3 linked regions of the Pelodiscus sinensis genome follow. The protein of the gene in region 1 purifies or fractionates together with the protein of each later gene. This does not show direct contact. Links are inferred from orthologs where the notes say so. Each region holds a gene or a part of one and is shown in the gene's direction. Other genes may lie near its edges.

What was found.
Region 2: the proteins of STX7 (region 1) and NAPG purify together in Homo sapiens (affinity purification with mass spectrometry; 3 studies listed by BioGRID and IntAct, counting the BioPlex papers as one, with this or other methods). This does not show direct contact. The link is inferred for Pelodiscus sinensis from reciprocal best matches to the Homo sapiens genes STX7 and NAPG.
Region 3: the proteins of STX7 (region 1) and VAMP4 purify together in Homo sapiens (affinity purification with mass spectrometry; 3 studies listed by BioGRID and IntAct, counting the BioPlex papers as one, with this or other methods). This does not show direct contact. The link is inferred for Pelodiscus sinensis from reciprocal best matches to the Homo sapiens genes STX7 and VAMP4.

The regions. Positions count from the first base shown.
Region 1 is NC_134713.1:94,319,162-94,326,379, reverse strand, and holds the start of STX7 (syntaxin-7), read left to right. Parts: upstream 1-4,207; 5' UTR 4,208-4,364; intron 4,365-7,218. UniProt on the Homo sapiens protein: May be involved in protein trafficking from the plasma membrane to the early endosome (EE) as well as in homotypic fusion of endocytic organelles. Mediates the endocytic trafficking from early endosomes to late endosomes and lysosomes.
Region 2 is NC_134712.1:85,948,659-85,956,312, forward strand, and holds the start of NAPG (gamma-soluble NSF attachment protein), read left to right. Parts: upstream 1-4,638; 5' UTR 4,639-4,740; coding exon 4,741-4,796; intron 4,797-7,654. UniProt on the Homo sapiens protein: Required for vesicular transport between the endoplasmic reticulum and the Golgi apparatus.
Region 3 is NC_134719.1:64,088,843-64,095,692, reverse strand, and holds the start of VAMP4 (vesicle-associated membrane protein 4), read left to right. Parts: upstream 1-3,834; 5' UTR 3,835-3,987; intron 3,988-6,141; 5' UTR 6,142-6,200; coding exon 6,201-6,266; intron 6,267-6,850. Other genes in the region: METTL13 (eEF1A lysine and N-terminal methyltransferase), read right to left, coding at 1-272, 1,595-1,747. UniProt on the Homo sapiens protein: Involved in the pathway that functions to remove an inhibitor (probably synaptotagmin-4) of calcium-triggered exocytosis during the maturation of secretory granules.

The DNA.
Region 1 (7,218 bases):
ATGCTCTGCCCCAGGCGTCCCCAAGTCAGCCACTGCTGAAACTGACCAGCGCTGACTACAGGAAGCCCGAGGCAGAGTTGCTCTGCCCCAGGCTTCTTGGAATCAGCCGCTGATCAGTTTCAGCAGCAGCTGACTTGGGGACGCCTGGGGTTCTTAAGTTGAATCTGTATGTAAGTCGGAACTGGTGTCCAGATTCAGCCGCTGTTGAAACTGATCAGCGGCTGATTCCAGGAAGCCCGGGGCAGAGCAGCTCTGCCTCTGGCTTCCTGTAGTCAGCCGCTGGTCAGTTTCAGCAGTGGCTGAATTTGGACGCCAGTTCCAACTTACATACAGATTCAATTTAAGAACAAACCTACAGTCCCTATCTTGTACGTAACCCAGGGACTGCCTGTATGGGCACATGAACCTGATTTTGACCCACAAGAAGCAGAGCAGATGCTCCCTAATCAAATGTTTATTTAACCCTGAATTTAACACTCAAATACTTTGAAGATGGAAGCTATAGAAATAAATAGCTGAGATAATCTGTCAGAAAATACTGATCAGAAGCATTTCCTTTTCCCTTTTCTTGGGCCAACTGGATCTGTTTTGTGATCTGCCTCTCCTTCCATTCTGTAACATCCTTGTGGCCACAACTATTGCTTACTTGGAAGAATAATATTAGGTAAATATTTAATGTATTTGTATCTGTCTTGTAACATAGAAAAGCTGCTGGAGGCAAGGAGGAGAATACAGTAACAGTGCATACCAAGAAAATCTCCAGGGGCCATCAAAATCCTGCACAACACTGTTTGGGAACTTCTGCCTTATTTCATAAGTGTCATACATTTCTATCAGAAGACATGAAATGCAGACAGAGGTATCCATATGTTGCAAATCAAAGTGAACTGCTCCCTAAGTTACAAAGTGTCTGCTCTGAACAAGACATTTTTTATCAGAAATACAAATCCAAAACAAAATGCTCATATATATATATATATATATATATATATATATATATATATATATATATATATATATTTGTATATTGCTTTGACAGAAGAAATGTATTATGATCTCATCTGAGTCCATGTAAATCTAGAATGACTGTACTGAAAGCACTGAAGTCATATTGGTGTAAAACCAATGAGAGATCATATTCAAGCTCACGATCTTCAGCTAGCAGAGGAGAGTAGTGTAACGTCACTATTTTGCCATCTAGTGGTAAATACTGGGTTATCCAAAATATACTACAACTGTAAGGAAAATAAAGTAATACAAACAGTATTAAAATAATTGCCAATCAGAATGAAATATTAAACCCAAAATGAGCATGCATACAGAATGTATGTAGCATATGATAGCATAAATGTCCAGGAGTGCCATTTTTATTACTTTTTATGTATAAAAGTCACAGCACCTTTGCTTGCACAACAGAATTCCAAATAGCTAGAGCATGAAGAACTCACCTAAATCCTACCAATCTACTTTGTTCCACCTCTCTAGCATGCTTTAACACAATGAGGGGCAACCTCGGGTAGTGAGTGGACTGCACAAGTGGCCCTCCTTCACCTCAGTGGGCTGCAAGAATATTGTAACTAAGACGGTCTCCCAGGATAGGGTAGTTTTGCTAACTGTGCTTACCTACCTAGCATTTGCAAGGTGTGCTGTTTGAACTGTAACAACACTTTGATTGGATACAGAAAGCACACAGGTCTCACAATGTTGTGTGCAATCAGCACATACTTCACTTCACATGCACTTGCTTTAAGTATGTGTCACTTTTTAAATATTGGTAGAAAAAAACACTCAGCAGATGAAAAGCAGTGTAATCCGGCAATCCTGTGCATGAGCAACAGTAAACAAAACGTCTCATGGGCCACTCACAGAACCACAATGGGCCACATGAGTCCCTTAGGTTGCTCACTGCTGCTTTAGTAGCTATAACTAAATACTATCAATGGCTACGTCTACACTGGCATGAATTTCCGAAAATGCTTTTAACGGAAAAGTTTTCCGTTAACAGCATTTTTGGAAAAGCGCGTCTAGATTGGCAGGATGCTTTTCTGCAAAAGCACTTTTTGCGGAAAAGCGTCTGTGGCCAAACTAGACGCGGTTTTCCGCAAAAAAGCCCCGATCGCCTTTTTCACGATCGGGGCTTTTTTGCGGAAAAGAGTACTATGCTGTCTACATTGGCCCTTTTGCGCAAAAGTCTTTCGGAAAAAGACTTTTGCCTGAACGGGAGCAGCATAGTTTTTCTGGAAAAGCACTGATGATTTTACATGAGATCGTCAGTGCTTTTCCGGAAATTCAAGCGGACAGTGTAGACAGCTGGCAAGTTTTTCTGCAAAAGCAGATGATTTTGAGGAAAAACTTGCCAGTCTAGACACAGCCAATTTATTTAAATTAACTGAAGAGAGGGCACCATGTCTGTAATAATCAACCAGATGGAAAAGTTATGTGGAACGAGTATTGATATCAAAACGTTAGCAAATAGTTTTTGTCTGGGTTTTTCTTTTTCTTCTAAGTTGTTTTAACTTTTCACTGTTATTGTATTATGGTAGCAGCTAAAACCTCCAAGCAAAGCTCCACAGTGCTACACAGCTAAAACAAACACATAACAAAAACAGTCTGTTTCCTAAAGAGCTCACAGGTTAAGTAACTTTTATGCATCTCTGCCATATTTATATAAGCATATATTTGGAATTAGAAGGGTTTTGTTTTGTTTTTCTACAAAGAACATTGGACTCCAATTTCAGACTTCGAATGAACACTTTCTCAAAATTAAAAAGCCAGTGAGAAGATTCTTGATATCCACAATAATAAAGTTGTAGAACTGCCTAGAAGCCAAAGATGACTGGGAATAGAAGACATCTATAGTGGGTGGAAACAACTATCATTAAACATTGAAAAGACAGAAGTGGGTGGAGCTGTGAACTGCTCCTCTTCTAATTACCAGACTCCAGGACTGAGGCTGTACAGTTCCCAACTTCCTGCTCTGCAGTTGCAGGTTCACAGTATGTTAGAGGAGGACTGCATGGCTGAAACTGTGACTATCCACCTGCTTTCTGAGGGAACAGAGTCCAGCTGTAGAAAAAGATTCCAAAACTGGAGACTCTGCTCACCAATTGAGAGCAAGAATGTGTATGTGTAGAAGCTGAGTTCTCTTAGGCTCAAGCCCATTCTGTAGTGGAGGGTCTGTGGGTGAGAATGCGGCCAGGCTCCTCTGTGTCCAGTTAGAATCTAGAGCATTATTCCTCAGGAAGACAAAGGAGCTGGATCTTCTACCTGTTCGCCTGCATTTTTAACCTGATTTTGAGGTCTCGGAGAGCATTGCTACACTATGGAGAAGACTGACCCTCGGGAGGTCAATTTAATGTTCAAGTTAGCAGGTCTAGCGTAGATTCCCAAATTGAACGCTGAAGGCAGCCCCCACCGGGGTCAGGGAAGCTGGTGGGAGTGTGTGCTCCCACCAGCCTCCTGCAGTGTAGACGCTGCAGTGGCTCAGTTTAAGATAAGCTGATCCCAGCTAGCATTTCGTGTAGCTGGATGGAGTACCTTAAGCCAATCTGCCTGGTCTAGTGCACTCAGGGCCTAAGATAGTTGGGGGCTGGCTCTTCTCTTCCTTTCCTCCTGGGCACTAGCTCAATTAGGAGCTCTTTAATCATCTGAAATTAAAAAAAAAATCCTACAAAGAGGGGAAACATGGCTGAATAGTTAAGGAAGAAAGGATAGTACAAGCATGGCAAAACAAAATCAGACAGGGTAAGGCACAAAAGGGGTTACATGTAGCAAGGGGCATACACAAGGCAATACAATGAGAGGCTTGACATACATCGGGAGCAAGAGAAAGATGAAGGAAACTATAGGTCACGTGCTTAACAAGGAAGGCGAGCTAATAACTGAGGGCATCCAGATACGTGAGGCGCTGAATGCTCAGACCCAGTCCATAGCCAACATCTTGGCTGCAGAAGATTCGCCAGGAGCTGAGCTTGCAGGGCTGAGCGCTAGGCTCTGAGCGGCAGCAGCTCCGCGAGGCAGAAACGCTCGGGCCGTTGAAGGAGTAAGAGATCCGGAGCGACTAGGCTCCCACCCCTGCAGCGGGCTCCCTTAATGACGCCTGACTGGAGAGGCTCCCGCTTTGCGCGCTCAGGGGGCCGCCCGGAGGCTGCAGGCGGCGGCGCGCCGGGCTCAGCCCGCTAGGGGGCGGGAAGGCAGCTGCTTGCCGCGTCACTGGGCCCAGGCGAAGGGGCGGGGCCGGCGAGCTCAGCCCCGCCTCCTCTCCCCGGGACTCTTCTGCTGCAGCCGGAGCCGCCGCTCAGCTGAGCGGTGCCGTGCGGCGTCCTGAGCCCGGCTGTGCTGGGAGGCGGAGCCGCTGGGGCCTGGTAAGAGGCGCTGGGGGTGCAGCGGCGCCCAGGGGAGTCGCTGCGCTCGCTTGTCTTTCCGGGGGTGCCCCCGGGGGGTGCCGCCCTGCTCCCGGGCGGCTCCAGCTTCCCCGCGGCAAGGGGGCGGGCAGCAGCGGGGGCCGCCCTGCCCGCGTGGTGGGGGGCGGCGTGCGGGTGCGGCACAGCTCCCAGCCCCGCTGGCGAGAGGGGAGGGGCAGGGCAGACGCGGCGGCTGCCCACGGGAAGGGATCGGTTCCGCATTCCCGCGGCCCATCGCCGCCGAGCTGCAGCCCGTCCCTGCGCCCGGCTGCACCCGCGGCTGGCTGGAGAGCGGGTAGCCCTCGCCCGTCGGGGGCACACGCCCGCCCTGCTTCCCACCTCCTTGGACTGTTTCCCCAGAGCCAAGAGCGACTCGTGCACCCCAAGAGGGTTGTGCGAGAGCCGAGTCTGGGTGGAGGCAGTGTTTGTCATGTGCGGGTGTGCCCTTGTGCTTCGTGCTCCCACAGAGGGAGGGTTAACGCTCAGGAAGGAAACGCCTCCCTCCCGCCCCTTCTGTCTTCCTTTGCAGCCCTGCAGTTGTTGCAGTGTCAAAGAATTGCAGCATTTCTTTCTCCTGACACTGAGCAAAGAATTTCTTGGAGCAGTGATACCCCCAAACTGTTATTGTATATATCCCTCTTTAGGGATTGTCTACCTGGACACGTAGAGGGTGTAGAGGGTGCCTTCACTATGCGTAGGCAACGATCAATCCAGCAGGGGTAGATTTTTTTTTTTTTTACACTATAAATTGATGCTGAGTGCTCACCTGTTGACTCCAGTATGCCACCAGAATGAGAAGCGTAGGTGGGGTAGATATGAGTTCAACTTACTGTGGTGAGCATACAACAATAAGTAGATCTAGGTATGTCGCTGTCAGCTACGTTATGTTTATGTAGCTGAAGTTGCACAGCTTGGATCCATGGCCTGCTGTAGGGTAGATAGATTGGGCCCTAGTTTGCAGCAAGTTGAGACATAAGCTTGTCTTGCATTAAGAGACTACTGTGTGCTGCCAGGCACTCATGGGTTCCTTGTCTACTTCCATTTCAAAGTGGGATAGAGCAAAGTGCAGAGCTGAGTTTTTGATATGCTGCTGTTTGACAAGCAGGTATTGTAGAGCTTTTGGGAAGTTGCTGGACTGCCTGTGTGCAGAAAGTTAGTGTATGAAAACCTGAAAGTGTGAATCCTTGATCTTTTTTTGTGCTCGTTATCACATCCACTACTTCACTGTTTTAAAGCATGTGTATATATGTTTGTGTAAATAAGTTAATGTGCCCTCTGAGTCTGCTGAGTCTGCTATCACGTAGCTACATGCAACATAACAAAAATGTTTGTTTTTACATGTGGCTCTTGAATACATTAGTAGATTCTAATGCTGGAAGTGACCCAATTGTGATCACCTAGAAATCAACACACCCCATAGAATTTCCCCAAAATAATCCCTAGAACATACAGTATCTTGTAAATTTAGAAAAACATCCAGTCTTGAGTTTTAGATTGTTAAAGATGACCTTTGATAAACTGTTCCAGTTGTAATTACTCAGTGTTAATGTATGCTTTATTTCCTGTCTGAATGTTTCCACCTTCAACTTCTAACCATTGAATTAAATTGCTCTCTTTACTTGAATGAGGATCCTATTATTAAATACTTGTTTCTCCATGTAAGTACTGAAACTGTAACCGGGTCGTCCTTTACTCTTGATAAACTCCTTGAAAGGAGTTCTAAGTACGGTAGGCGTACTCTAGTCCCTTAATGCTACCCTGAAAAGTAAGAACCCTTAAACAAGTGGTCCTGTAGCACTTTAGAAATTAACCCCAAAAAAAGTATCATGAGCTTTTGTGAGCACAACGCTCTTTTTCAGATGAGTGGAGCTAGAGGGGGGGGGTTCCAACCTGGGGCAGAGGATTGGGGTGCAGGAGAAGGAGTAGGGTATGAGCTCCAGCCAGGCAGTCCTTACTTCTGGGCAGCAGCACAGCAGGACTCAGGCAGGCTCCTTACTTTTCCTGATTCCGTGTGCCTCCCAGAAGCGGCTGCCATGTTCTGCTCCTAGGTGGCGGAGCTAGAGAGCTCTGTGTGCTTCCTGTGCCCACAGGTACTGCCCCCATAGCTCTCCTTAGATGCAGTTTTTGCTCAGTGGGAGCTGCGGAGCTGGCACTGAGGATGAGGGCAGTGCACACAGCTTCCCTGATAGCTCCTAAGGGCCGCAGAGACATGCCAGCCGCTTCCAGGAGATGCAGAGAGCCAGGACAGGTATGCAGCCTGCCTTACCTCCTGTGCCATTAACTAGACTTTTATGGCCTGGTCAGCAGTAAGGATGTAAAATCCTGTTTAATTGGTTAAATGCTTAAATGTGATGCTTAACGGGTTAAAGGGGTGGGGAGCAGGGAGGCCAAAAGAACTCATCTTAATTCTATTTTCTGATATTTCTTACAAACTAAAATGCATCACAAATCAAGGCTGGGCAACAGTTTTTGATGTGGGGCTGTTCCTAAGAATTTGGTAAGTGGTCAAGTGCTGCACTCCTAATATTAAGGGAGGAGGTGCAGGGTATGGAATGGAGGTTGGATGAGGGTAGGTGAGTGGGGCATAGGATCTGGGAGAGGGCATGGTTGCAGGAGGGCATTATAACATGGAGGTGGCAGTGCAGGATCTAGGAGAGGCTTGTGACCTGGGACAAGGGTGCAGGAGGGGAGTGTAAGGATTTGGGTTGTGACTTAGGGCAAGGGGAAGGGCTGTGACCTGGGGCAGGTGAGGGGGGAGGGGAGACGTGGTCTGGGAGAGAGACGTATGCAGGATCAGGGGGGCAGAAGGTATGGT
Region 2 (7,654 bases), on another chromosome or scaffold:
GATTGATCAGTGATGCTGGGTTTTCAACTACAGGAAGAGGCGAAGATTGGGAAGAGTGCAGGGTGGCAAAGGAGGCAAAGAGAGGCAGGCAAGGGATGCAAACCCTGCCCCAGCCCTGGGGAGCTCGAACCTTTCTTTTCTGCCTGGTTTTCTTGCCAGTGATTTTTCCCAGTGTCTCTCTCACTCTGTGGAGCTTGTGAGGCAAAGGGAACATGGTGAGTGCTAGTGATAGAGTCTGCACCTTGCCCTCCCCGCTTTATCCAGCTGCTCCTTTATTATTTAGCCTCATTTCTTTTTTCTTGGTCCCGCGGGTCAGGGACCACTGTGGCTCTGCATTTTAAATGTAGTAAGAGCGGCCAAACTACAGAAGCACAGTGGGGGTAGCTCCTGGACCGGCATGAGCTGGGACAGAGCTCCTTCCCTTATCGACTAATTGCGTAGTCGATACAAATTGTATTGACTACATAATTAATCAGTTACCCGCTTCTTAACATCCTTAGTTCACGATGCTTAAATTGGAATAGTTATGTTGCTTGTAGGGTGGCTAATTTACCCCTCTGAGTGACATAATTTATGTTGACTTAAACTGTAGTGTGGCCATAGCCTGAGTCAGCTGACATGAAGTGTAGACACACTCTGAGGCTACGTCTATACTGCAGCCTTCTTCTGCAAAAGCTTATTCAAATGAAATGTGGAGTAGAATATTGCCGAGCTTCATTTGCATAATTAATTAGCAGACATTTTGCGCAAGAGGCTTTTGCGCAAAAAGGAGCTGTGTAGTCGACTCCGTGCTTCATTTGCATAAGCTTTTGCGGAAGAAGGCTGTAGTATAGACTTAGCCTGAGAGACCCAGAGGTAGGAATAATGACCAGTAACTACCCAGACCCAGTGGTGCTAAGGAGCATTAGATCCAATTGCAACAGACTGATGTCCAATCAGAGAGCAGGGCTGAACCAGTTTGTGACATGCATACCCAGGGGAAAGACAGTTAGGTAGGGAGCAAGTTTTTCTGGTGTGCTAGCAATAACATTGTACAATTAACAAGATCTAACAGAAAATCTAATTGTTTCTACACTAAGTCAAATTGAATGTGTGAGACTATAGTTGTAAAAATTTGTTATTCCCTATACTATTGTAGTAAGTGCACATTTTTTAATAGAGTTCCTGGCCATTTTAAAACAAGTTACTTATGTACAAATCAAATTCACATCAAAGATCATAATTGAGCCCTCTGAGATGTAAAATCCTCTGAAAAGCAACAGTTTCTTCTTGTAACTTCTGGGACTATACAATAAAAGTTTCCCAGGAATACCCCTGTTTCATAAAATACTACTATCTTTGGAAATATTTAGCTGGTCATTCCAGTAATGCATAATGAGACAGTGCAGATACGTAATTAAACAGCTTTTATTAACCAGACAACTGAACAGTGTTGGAAAATTAAAAGAAACAATTTGATTCAGAAGTATTTATAGGGGTCATTTTATGCCTACAAAACAGCAACTCTCTTATTTCTTGTTTCTACTAATTCACTTCTGTCACGTTATTGGATTTTAAAGTGAGCAGACAGATCACTGTTGCACCCACGAGTGGTGTTTGCCCCAAATTCTGTACAAAGTAGGCCATGTGAGGTGTCAAATAGAAGCTTATGCTTTACTGAGTCTATGTATGCTACTCATGTACTTGTATGATGTTTGTATGTGAAGTTATGAACATGGGCTCTGTACTTGTACTGTAAATGTTCTCTGTCTAGGAGGGAGCAATGGGCCTGGACTGCCTATTGTGAAGAAGGATTGTTCAGTGAACAGCTGTGCTAACTAGCACTGCTTCATGGATAATGCAGGCTTCTAGATGCATTCCTCAGGTGTCCATTGGAATGTGTCTGGAAGCCTGCAGACTAGCCAGTGCCTCATGGCTGCTTGCATGGGAATCACAGATAGGTCACTAGATCATGTGACCAGCTCCATATTTGGGAAGCACCAGGAATATAAAAGTGCTATGAGGATGTCTCCATTTTGTCTTCAATCTTGCTACTGATTCCAGATGCATCCTTGCTATGGGACAGAGAGCCAGGAAGGATTGCTGACCCATCTTAATATAGCATGTACACCAGAATTCTAAGCTAATAGTTTGTAACATCTCTGCTAAGAACATGCATCAAGAGCTTCGTGATTGATGTATGTAATGTATTCTCCTTAACAATCTTACTCTCAGCCTTTTCTTTCATTAATAAATCTTTAGATTTTAGATTCTAAAGGATTGGCCCAGAGTGCTCTTGTGGGTAAGATCTAAAGTGTAAATTGGCCTGGTACTGTGGCTGGTTCTTTGGGACTGGGAGGATCTGTTCGGAGTTAGTAAACCTTCTCACCTGTGTGTAAGGTCCGGGGTTGATTGCGGCACAGGGAGAGCTGGAGTGTCTGAGGGGCTTGTGAGGCTTCCTGCTGGCCAGATTGGCAGCTGAAGTGCTCTGTGTGACTGGTTTGTGGCCTATTTGGGAAAGGTCTCCAGTCGAGGGCTGTAAGTAGCCCTGGTTTTGAGCAATTCACCCTGAGCTGATGCTCTCACAATGCCCAGATCCGGCTCGGTCTGTCACAACTTCCCATATAAAAATATTTATTTAAAGGCACAGCAACTAGGAAAAGTCATACTTCTAGGGCCAAATTCTATCCTGTCTGCCAGAACTAGGAAGACGGTATCTCTTGGGTCATCCTCTGCTACAAGAATCTTGCCAGTTGCCACTCAGAACCCACTATACACTCCTAGGCTGTGTCTAGACTGGCCACTTTTTCCGGAAAAGCAGCCGCTTTTCTGGAAAAACTTGCCAGCTGTATACACTGGCCGCTTGAATTTCCGCAAAAGCACTGACGATCTCATGTAAGATTGTCAGTGCTTTTGCGGAAATACTATGCTGCTCCCGTTTGGGCAAAAGTCTTTTTCCGAAAAACTTTTGCGCAAAAAGGCCAGTATAGACAGCAGAGATTTCTTTTCTGCAAAAAAGCCCCGATCGTGAAAATGGCGATCGGGGCTTCTTTGCGGAAAAGCGCGTTTAGATTGGCAGGACGCTTTTCCGCAAAAGCACTTTTTGCGGAAAAGCATCCTGCCAATCTAAACGCGCTTTTCCGAAAATGCTTTTAACGGAAAACTTTTCCATTAAAAACATTTCCGGAAAATCATGCCAGTGTAGACGTAGTCCTAGGGTATATCTAGACTACAGGCTTTTGTTGACAGAAGTTTTGTCGACAGATACTGTCGACAAAGCTTCCGTTGACAAAGAGCGTCTAGACAGCATCCAGTTCTGTCGACAAAGCAAGCCGCTTTGTTGACAATAGTGTAGACACAAAGGACAGTGTAGATGCAATAACGCCTTCTGTCGACAGAACTCTGTTGACAAAAGGCGTTATTCCTCGTAGAATGAGGTTTACTGCCGTCGACAAAACTGCCAAGTTCTGTTGACGTTATGTTGACAGAACTCAGCGGCAGTGTAGACGCAGGTATAGTTTTGTCGACAAAAGTCCACTTTTGTCAACAAAACCTTGTAGTCTAGACACACCCCTAGAGGCTACCAGCTAGTTTTGTGCTTGTAAGAAACTCCCTACTCTTTTGAGGATGTTGTGGGCAGGATGACCCAGCAGCTGGCTGTTTCTTTTAGTGCTCTCTTGAACACTCTGGAGGGAACTGTTCTGCTCTTGCCAGACTATGTACTAACTGACCCATATCATGTGATGGGATATTTTGAATCCTGACCTACTATTTTGTTGCTACATAGTCTTTCTCTCAACGTTTCCTATAGGCTCCTGAAACAGTAATGCTCCTGGTGCAGGTTTGGTGAGTGATCATCTCACTTGGCCTTCCCACATTGTTGTATCCAGTCTATTTCCTTTACTCTGGCATGTGTTTGATGTAGGGAAAGAACCAGGGGAGGAGGGAAGAGGTAATAAAAAGGGCTGAGTATGTGTGGAGCACTTGTCAAGAAGCACACACCTTACAGGAGCCTGGCAGGAGCAGCAGGTAGCCTTGCTATATCTGTCAACTAATGTTGCTAGTTTTAGATTTTCGGAGTGGAGGAGGAAATGCTGAGCCAATATGTGGCTTGCTGAGCTTATCTCGGTACAGCAAGGACACCATGGGACAGTGCACATGTGAGAGATGGTCTGACTCTTAATTTCACCGGTTTGGGGCCTGGTTAGATATTCATAGCCCTGTGCAGTTTACATACTGTGAAGAGAGGGAAAATCTTACATTCAAAATCAACGAGGTGGCTTTTGACATGAAACATTTGGCCCCTTCTCTGCTGTGCCAGGCTTCTGGGGAATGGGCAAGTAGCAGCTAAGCAGCTCCTGTGCCTGTCCTGAAAGGGGAGCTGGAGTGCAACCAGGAAGACCCACCACAAGCCAAGCCTCTTCTTAGAGTCCCTGAAGGGGGGGGCAGAAGACACAGCTTTAAGCCACGCGACTATACGCCTGTCCCGGAGCTGCGCGCGCAGCTCTCTCCCTTGCTGCACGGATGACTCTGTGCCCCCCCGCCGAGCGTCCGCCTCCGCCAGCCACGTCCCTTTGGGGCACGTTCGGCTCGCCTCCCGCCGCTTCTCGCGCAGGCGCGCTAGCGTATAGCATCAGGTCCCGCCCCCTTCGTACGATACTGAGCTCTCCGGCTTGCCGTAGCCTGTTCCTCTCTGAGGCAGGAGGGGCGGGGACGTGGCGGCGGCGGCAGCTCCTGTCAGGCGCAGACCGGCCCGGTGCGATGGCGGCGCAGAAGATCAACGAGGCGCTAGAGCACATTGCCAAGGCGGAGAAATAGTGAGCGCGGCGCGGGAGGCCGGGGCAGCGAGGAAGCGGCGGGCCTGGCGGTGCCGCTCGCTCCTGGGAGACGCTCGCGGGGGCGGGGCAAGGAGGGAGGCGATTCCAGGCTCCGGGGGCTCTCGAAGCAGCCGTTTCCGCCCGGTTCCTCTTCGCTCCGGGCTGTCGTTCCCCCCCCCGCGCGGCCGGGCGCCTTGGGAGCTGAGCCCCGCGCGCTTCCGCGGAGAGAACTACAGCTCCCAGAATGCCGCGCGCGCGGTGCGGCGGTTCCCGGGAGCCTGGCCGGGGGGGGCGGGGGGCGGAACGAACCTTTGCGGCGCAGCCTGAGGCTCGGATCCTGTTTCCCTGGGGCCAGTCGCTGGTAACCCAGCCTGTTGTGCGCGCAAACCCGGTGACAGCGGGGCCCGGGGCAGATAGCGCGGGCCGGAGGTCCCCCCCCGCGCTGTAGAGCGAGGCAGTGACGGGCCCCTCCGCTGGGTTCACACCTCGGGGAAGCCTCCCCCACTGCCCGGGAATCTGAGACCCAGGCTAGGAGGCTGAGCGAAAGAAAAGAGACGCGGAGTGGCGCTTCCGAGGCAGGTGAATGAGAGAAATGAGATGAAGGAGAAATGCATCAGAAATAGACTGGAAAGGAAACTTGGGACTGGATTTTGCTCAAGCAGTTTTAAGTGAACTTGTCCTCACAGCAAACTTATTTTGAAAGCCAAGCGTTTACACATAACTGCTTTTGTTGCTTGTTCATGTATACAATAATGGCACCAGAAGGCCACCAACTAATATTAGTACTGTTATGCTGAGAACAGTATAGTATAAATCAGGGGTGGGCAATAATTTTTAAAAGGGGGCCACCCTGGAAGGTGCAGAGCCAGGAGACTTCTTGTGCTCCTTCCCCAGATGGCCTGGGGTGGGAGGGTGTGAGAAGTCTTCCCCCTCCATCTCCTGCCCTGCCTCCTAGAGAGAAATGCTAGCTGTTTTAAAACAGCTGGTGGTTTCCCTTTAGGCGCCCAGTAGAAGGTGACCTTGTGCACTCTCCCTGCCCCCAGGCCAATCAGGGCCTGGGGGTGGGGAAGCATGTGAAGTCTACTTGCCCCCGCTAGAGCGCATGGCAGCTATAGAGACACAGCTGGTGTGTCTCTCTAGCAGCCGCACTCCCCTGGCAGGACAGGGACAGGACATGAAAGACTTTGCTTGCTCCCCGCCCCCAGACCCTACTTGGCCTGGGGGCAGGGAATACGCAAAGCTTCTCGACAAAGGTGTGCGGCAGCTAGAGATAAATGTGGTTGTTTTAAAACAGCTGGTGTGTGTCTCTAGCTGCTGTCTGCTTTTGTGGGGGCGAGGAAACTGCATGCTCCTCCGTCCCCAGGCCCTGGTTGGCCTGAGGAAGGGAGAGCAGCAGGGGGCCCGCAGAAAGCCCTTTGCCCATCCTGGTATAAATGCATTCAATGTAATCATTGCTCCAAAAGACATTATGATTTAAGTGCCAAGAGAGACAAAATATTGTAGACCAATGGTTTTTTACCGGTGGGTCCCTTGGAGTTTGCAGACTGTTTAAGATTTCCAAAGGACTTCACATCTCCATTCAAATCTTTTTCCGGGGTCTTCAAATGAGAGAGAGTTGAAAACCATTGCTGTAGGCTAGGAATATGGAGGCAGGAACACAGGGGGGCAGAGGGGAGCCAACTTTTAAGATGGTTCCCTGCGTGTACTAGCTCCCACAAAGCTGATGGCACCTTCTCCTTCCCCTCCCTTCCACTGTTGCCTCTGTGTCAGAGGCAGCAATACAGGGAGAGGGCAGGCACTGGCTTCCTGCCTGTCCCCGATGCTGCTGTTGATACAGAAGCAGTAGGACGAGGGGGGGCTTTTTACATAGCCATGAAGTTAACCTATGAGCCTAATTGGTTAACAGTTTAAACATTAACACCATCACACCCCTTCTGTTGGCAGGCAACATAAACTGTCAAATACAGCATGTTACAGTAAAACTCCAGTGGTCCGGCATCCAATGGTCCGGCACTCCTGATGGTCTGGCACCATCTGGAACCCGGAAGTGCTGGACAATTGGAGCTGCTCTGCCCCGGGCTTCCCCAATTCAGCCGCTGCTGAAACTGACTAGCGGCTGACTCTGGGAAGCCTGGGGCAGAGCAGCTGAGGTACTGCCGGGTTGGTCCCGCAGTGCCAAGGGGTGCATCCCCCCTACTCCACCCCAGACCCTTCATAGCTCTCCCCCTTTCCAATAGTCCGGCATATCTGATAATCCGGCACCCCCTAGGTCCTAAAGGTGCCGGATTATCCAAAGTTTACTGTAGTTAGCTTTTAATGCCAAAACCTATACACTGAAGCAAATTGCTCCACTATTGCTAAGTAAAAATATTTTCATTCCAAACTGCCCATGCATCAGAAATAAGTCTTATCCTGAAAAGAGAGGGTGAAGTTACAGAATGTCCAGAAATGTCTAAGTACCTGTTCAGAGTATGATCAGATGGGGCAGTGAGGCCCAACTATTTGGTCCTTGCTTATTCACCCATAGTGTCTAGCAGTCCTCTCCCCTTTCTCTGTATCTCACATGGATGGGTGAGGATGGTGTCCATTGAAGCTGTCAAAGAGGGTGGGAGCAGGGCTGGCTCTAGGCTTTTTGCCACCCCAAGCAAAATAAATTTTGGCTATGCCCTCCCCCCCCCCCTTTTTTTTGTCTGGGGAGGTTGCATGCGCAAATGCAGTTTGTGTGGCTTTCTGGGGGTGCGTGCGTGTGCAAATGCAGCTTGTGAGGCTTCCTGGGGAGTGGGAAGTATGCTCTGGAGGGGAGTCCAAACCCCAGGGCATTTTCATCTCCTAGGAGAGCTCCAGGGACTCCCCATGAG
Region 3 (6,850 bases), on another chromosome or scaffold:
ATCCTGTCCACCCTTTCGAGAGTGGCCTCCTCTTCGTCGACCAGGATGGCATCCAGGGTGCCCTTGTCCAGCACCACCTGGAAGCGGGCGTCCGGGAAGTCCATCTGCAGCATGTCCATCACCAGGAAGCTCATCTTCGGCCTCCTGTCGGCGTTGCGCTCCCTCATCTGCTTGATCACCACCTCGCTGATGTCCACGTTCACGATGTCCTGGTAGCCGACGTCATACATCTGCTCGCTCAGCTCGGAGTTGCCGCAACCCACCACGAGCACCTGGGACATGCAAAGAGAGGGTAGCTTCCCTGGGGGTCCCAACCCGCCTCACACACCATGGAGACGAGCAAACACCCGTGGGGAACGGATGCCGGGGGGGGGGGGCCTTGGGGGAGAGGAGGATCGGGGGGGGGGACATTGGGGGAGAGAGGGGGAAGGGATCCCGGGGGGGCTGCTGGGAGAAGGGAAGGGATGCTGAGGGGGCATTGGGGGAGGGAGAATCCGGGAGGGCACTGGGGGGAGGGGAAGGGGGATCCCGCTGGAGGGAAGGGAAGGGATCTCAGGGGGAAGGAGCGGTTGCAGGATCCCGGAGGAGGCGCTGGGAGGGGAGGGGGATCCCAGGGGGTATCCGGGGGGGGCGCTGGGAGGGGAGGGGGATCCCGGGGGGGGGCGCTGGGAAGGAAAGGGATGCCAGGGGGGGCGCTGGGGGAGGGAGATCCCGGGGGAGGGATCCGGGGGGGCGCTGGGGGAGGGGAGGGGGATCCCGGGGGAGGGATCCGGGAGGGCGCTGGGGGAGGGGAGGGGGATCCCGGGGGAGGGATCCGGGGGGGCGCTGGGGGAGGGGAGGGGGATCCCGGGGGAGGGATCCGGGGGGGGCGCTGGGGGAGGGGAGGGGGATCCCGGGGGGGCGCTGGGGGAGGGGAGGGGGATCCCGGGGGGGCGCGAGGGGAGGGGGATCCCGGGGGGGCGCTGGGGGAGGGGAGGGGGATCCCGGGGGGGCGCTGGGGGAGGGGAGGGGGATCCGGGGGGGGGCTGGGGGAGGGGAGGGGGATCCCGGGGGGCGCTGGGGGAGGGGAGGGGGATCCCGGGGGGGATCCCGGGGGGGCGCTGGGGGAGGGGAGGGGGATCCCGGGGGGGTCCGGGGGGGCGCTGGGGGAGAGGAGGGGGATCCGGGGGGGCGCTGGGGGAGGGGAGGGGGATCCCGGGGGGGCGCTGGGGGAGGGGAGGGGGATCCCGGGGGGGCGCTGGGGGAGGGGAGGGGGATCCCGGGGGGGATCCCGGGGGGGCGCTGGGGGAGGGGAGGGGGATCCCGGGGGGCGCTGGGGGAGGGGAGGGGGATCCCGGGGGGGTCCGGGGGGGCGCTGGGGGAGGGGAGGGGGATCCCGGGGGGGGCGCTGGGGGAGGGGAGGGGGATCCCGGGGGAGGGATCCGGGGGGGGCGCTGGGGGAGGGGAGGGGGATCCCGGGGGGGGCGCTGGGGGAGGGGAGGGGGATCCCGGGGGGGCGCTGGGGGAGGGGAGGGGGATCCCGGGGGGGGTCCGGGGGGGCGCTGGGGGAGGGGAGGGGGATCCCGGGGGGGCGCAGGGGGGGCCGGGGTCTCACCGTGTCGCGGGGGCGCGCGTAGCGGCGCAGGGCGGGGCGGAGCTGCGCGTACCCGCCGTACCACTCGAAGGCGCGCGCGCCGCGCTGGCGGAAGAAGCGCTCCCAGTAGCCGGCCGAGCCGAACTCGCGCGCGCTGCGGGGCAGCAGCGCCATGGCAGGGGGCGGGGCCTCTCCCCACGTGCGCCCGCGCCGCGCCGCGCGACCCTGGGACGTTGCGACGCTACGTCCGCGTCCGGAGCCCGCCCATTGCGGGGCGGGCGGGGCTCGGAGGCGGGGGCGGGGCCCCGGGGCGGGGCTGGGAGGCTGTGACATGAATCCATGGGCTGCAGAACCAAAGCCTCCCCAGGGGGCAGTGGCTACAGCTTCGCGCCTGCCCGAGCCTGCAGGCAGGGGGCGTGGCCATTCTCCGCTCAGCTGGGTGTTGACTCTGGACCCTAATGACATCGGGACAGGCAGCGACCAGAGGAGGCAGGAACTGCACACAAGTAGCAGCCCAGAAGAGGAAGCTGCATACCAAATGTGGTGGTCCTAGCCCTTACCATTTAGGAAGAGTTCTTGAACAAACAGACTCACAATTGGACAGACAGATGCACATTTTTAAAATACATAAGTACATTTGAACCATCCCTTAGACCACACCAGTGCAACTGCCCAAAATGTCAGTTGGGAAGAGAGAGAGCCAAATCCGAATCAGCATAGCTTGATTGATAAATTCACACCAGGTAAGGATCAGACCCATTCACACATTCAGACTAGCCAAATGTTCAACTGCTGTTTACTGAAAACAGGAGGAAAGGAGGGAAGGTTATAATGATATTGGCATAAACAGACACCCAGCATACACTGATTGGAAAGAAGCTCATATATTTAACAAAATAACAGATGGAGAATTATTAATGCCATCAAATGCCTTTGCAAGAAAACAAACAAAACAACAACAAAAACGTACGGTAGCTATATGTTAGGCTTGTTTCCTGCTTGTATAAAAACAACCCAGCTAATCAGAATCTCAAAAGAGTATTTTCCAAAAGCAGATTTACAATAGTGACAGCAGTTAGAGGCAGATCAGTTGTGGAAGGTTGTAAGTATGCGCAAAACATCCTGCTTTTCTGCACGGTTGCAACTGGTTCCGCAAACGGCAGCATTTTAAAAGCCACCCTCTGAGTCAGGAAGCCCCAGATTGGATCTTCCTTTTGGCAAGTATCGTTGTGCAGAGTTTGTGGATTTGCCGTAGGTGTGTGTGCTTTCGCTCCAAAGAGGGACTGCTTCCATCTCCTTTTTCTAAACACAGGGGCTACGTCTACACTGGCCCCTTTTCCGAAAGGGGCATGCTAATTTTACAGGTCGTAATAGGGAAATCCGCGGGGGATTTAAATATCCCCCGCGGCATTTAAATAAAAATATCCGCCGCTTTTTTCCGGCTTTTAGAAAAGCCGGAAAAGAGCGTCTACACTGGCCCCGATCCTCCGGAAAAAAGCCCTTTTCCGGAGGATCTCTTATTCCTACTTTGAAGGAATGAAGGCTGGAGAAAAGGCCCTGTAGGGGGTCTTAGAGTTCAATATGTTCTGTTCTTCTCCAAAGTAAGATTGAGAAGTGAATTGATCAGGATTTTTACACACAGAAAATGCAGGTGCCCACCGTGGAACAGTTGATCGTGGTGGAGAGATGGGGAGGTGCTGATCGGCAGAGCTACAGGCGGGCGGGAGGCATTTGGGTGCGGAAGAGGTCCGGGGGGTGGCTGGTTCGCGCCCCCCCCCCCCCCCGCCTTTCTGGAAGATGTAGGTGAGTCAGACACAAGCTAGTAGGTGCAGGTGGGTGAAAATCTGCGGCCTGCAGTATAGACTAGAATGATCCAACCATCGCTTCTGGCCTTAACATCTTTGGGGTCTAGTCACGCGGGTTGGGGGCTCGCTGATACACGTCTGAACGCCAGCGCTTCGAAGGCAAGCGCCTAATTCCCCTTGGCTTCAATGGCAGCAAGCGCCTAATTCCCCTTGGCTTCAATGGCAGTCACGCACCTAAGTGCCTTGTAGGATCTGGGCCGGGGGCATTTCCTCCCTCCCGCACTGGGACTGAACAATCGCTGTGCGTGCGGGGGGGTGCAGAGCCCCCCCCCCCGTGCTGCACCCCCGCGTGGACACGGGCCGGGACCGCGACAGCCCCGAGCGCCGCGCCGCTGCCCACGTGGGCTCCCAGCTGGCAGCGAGCCTCAGCCCCGCCCCCTCGCGCGAGTGGGCTCGAGACACGCGCGCGCCCCCCAGGGGCCAGCCCGCCGAGCGCCGGGCAGGAATCGATGGCTCGGCGCTCGGCCCGGATCGCCGAGCGCTCGATGGAGCAGCTGACTCGCAGCTGGGCCCCTCCGCGCAGCCCGGCCATTTCCCAGCCGCGGAGCGGTGAGCGGGGCCGGCAGGGGGGTTATCGGGAGGGGGCTCCGGGGGGGCAGGGCCTGGGGGCCCTTGGGGAGGGGGCTCTGTGGGGGGCAGGGCCTGGGGGCCCTTGGGGAGGGGGCTCTGTGGGGGGCAGGGCCTGGGGGCCCTGGGGGAGGGGGCTCTGTAGGGGGGGAGGGGGCCCTTGGGGAGGGGGCTCTGTGGGGGGCAGGGCCTGGGGGCCCTGGGGGAGGGGGCTCTGTGGGGGGCAGGGCCTGGGGGCCCTTGGGGAGGGGGCTCTGTGGGGGGCAGGGCCTGGGGGCCCTGGGGGAGGGGGCTCTGTGGGGGGCAGGGCCTGGGGGCCCTGGGGGAGGGGGCTCTGTAGGGGGGGAGGGGGCCCTTGGGGAGGGGGCTCTGTGGGGGGAATGGGGTGGGAATTGGGGGGGTCCTTGGAGGCCGTTCTGTGGAGAGGCTTTGGGGGTTCTGTGGGTGAAGGGCTTTGGGGGCTCCCAGCTACGTGTGCTTGCAGAGCTCTTGCCCCCTCTGCTGTTGTCTGGTGGCCCCGTGTAGACTCATGCTGCACGTGAGCTCGTCTCAGGGTCCCCTCTCCTCCCAAGCGCTGGGTTTTAGAGGGGAGTGGGGTTCGGGGGCTTCACGGGGGAGGGGTCCCAGGAGAGACCCATCGGGGAAAGCAGTTCCCTAGCACTGGGGTATCTCTCACTTCCTCCAGCCTGTGCTCATTGCCAGGGCTTCTCCTCTACCGGCCACATGATCCCTCCGATAACCCCCAGCCCAGCCCCTCGTATTCGCTGTGGTCCCTGCTTCCGGCCCAGCCAGCTGGGTGACACCCGCCCCCCCCCCACTCCTTGCCCAGGACCATTGTACCCCCCTACCCCCATCAGCTGCCTGGGTGACTTCTCCAGATTCTCTAACTTGTGCCTCTTTTGCTCCTGGCTTCGGTTGTGTCTGGACTGTTGCTCTTAACCTGTAGCGACACTCTCATCCTTCAGCACATGGGGACAGGCCCTGCCCTGCTGCGGGCTGTCTGGCTGTTTAGGGGAGCAGACAGTGCTCGCTGTGCTGGGACATTGGCTAAATTTCCTGCATTTCTGGTATTGTCACAGCCTACGGCTCTCCCTGCAATTTTCCATGTGCCCGCTCCGGGGTGGCAGGTTCCCCGGGATTGCAACGTTTCATCTCCACTGACTCCTGCAGCCGAGGAGAGTGGTGATGTTCAAACCCGCAAAGCCGTATCCAGGGTACTTGGGGTAGAAAGCCGCTTAGGATAGAACTGGGTGGCTCGGGGAGCCAGATTCTTTACCTCCTGGGTCACTGGGACACGGAGCCAGACGAGGTCAGCCCTGCAAGTGATCACTATGAAGTGGGGTGCAGTTCCTTGCTGACAGATATTTACCCAGCCCAGCTCTCCACCACCCTCGGCATCTGTGGGTCACTCCCAAAGACGCCAAGGGCAGGGGCCGTCTGTCTGGCTCAGGTGGAACGGAACACGTTGGCGGAGGAACGCTGGAGAACTTTGCATGCTGCCGTGCCTACATGAGATGGGCCTGTTCTGTAGAGAAGCAGGGTTTAACTCTTCCAACTGGGCCCCTCGTTGGCACTGACCGTAGCAAAGGGGGCAAGGTGGAAGAGAGAGAGCAGACCGCGCTTGGCCAAAATCCTGTGGGGGCTCGTCAGGTTTTATTGCTTTTCTTTCCTGGTTTAGTAACCTGTGGCTTTTTGATAAAATTGGTCGCTTTGGGGTTTTAGACCAAAGGGCTTGATAAGGGTTGTGGATCGGTTCTCCGCTGTGCTCAGAGCTGTACAAAAATGCAGAAAAACACAGTCCCAGCCCCAGTGAACTTAAACGCTTTGGCCTTGGCCCTCCGGAAACTCACATGTGGCCTGCACAGTCACATGCGTAAAGATAAGCAGGTACCGTCACGTCTCTTCAGGGTCAAAGTTTCTGAAACTAGACGGAACGACGTGATCTGTCCCTTGGGGTCCCTGAAAGCCTGGCATTGCTGGGCCGGTGGGTTGATTTTTCATTCTCTTTCCTGTGGCATTTGTCAATGGATTCTGTTTCACTGGGCTGAGTTTTAGGGAGACCGCGGCGATCGGACAGAGAATTGATCTCAGCACAATGGGCTCTGAGATGTTTTCTTCCCTCTCCCTTCTACGCAGCCTCTTCTTCCGCCACCCCCCGGTACAGACAGTCCAGGCCAGTTCTGTGAATAGGAAAGATGCCTCCAAAATTCAAGCGCCACCTAAACGACGACGAGGTGACCGGCTCGGTGAAAAGCGAAAGGGTGAGTGCCTGGCAACTCAGGGTCTCGTTTGCATTCGTTGGCACCCCGCCCCCTTAATTAGCAGGGGTGTGTTTACTCACACTGTGCTCTGAGATCCCTGGCTGGCACACACAGCTCCGTTGCCGGGGGCTTTGGGACCATCGGAACGGGGAGGGATTGCTGAAAGCGGACCTCAGACGAACGACATCTACCGTGATACAAGCCAAGTGGGGCACTCAGCATGTGAGCGCAGAAAGCCAGATGGGAGGACATGTTGAATCCTTCTGGCTGGCCGCGCTCAGTGCTGACTGCTTAGGATGCCTCGCTTGGTGTCTTCTCAGTTGTTGAACAACTTCTTCAGAGGGTGGAGCCAGCTGGGGGTTGTGCCTGCTAAATAATCCCTGTTTTGTAATTGGGCTGTGTGTCTGGGAGGAGACATCGGCGTTTTGCGTACACTGAGCGCTTGGGCGGCCGCCCAGGAGAGATGCAAATACTGCCCATTGATCCATAGCTGGGACCAAGTGTTTCTTGGTGGTGCGCACCTGCGCATGCCTTGGCGCACAGAACAAAATTTATTCCACACACAAATAGTCACAAATTAGAGG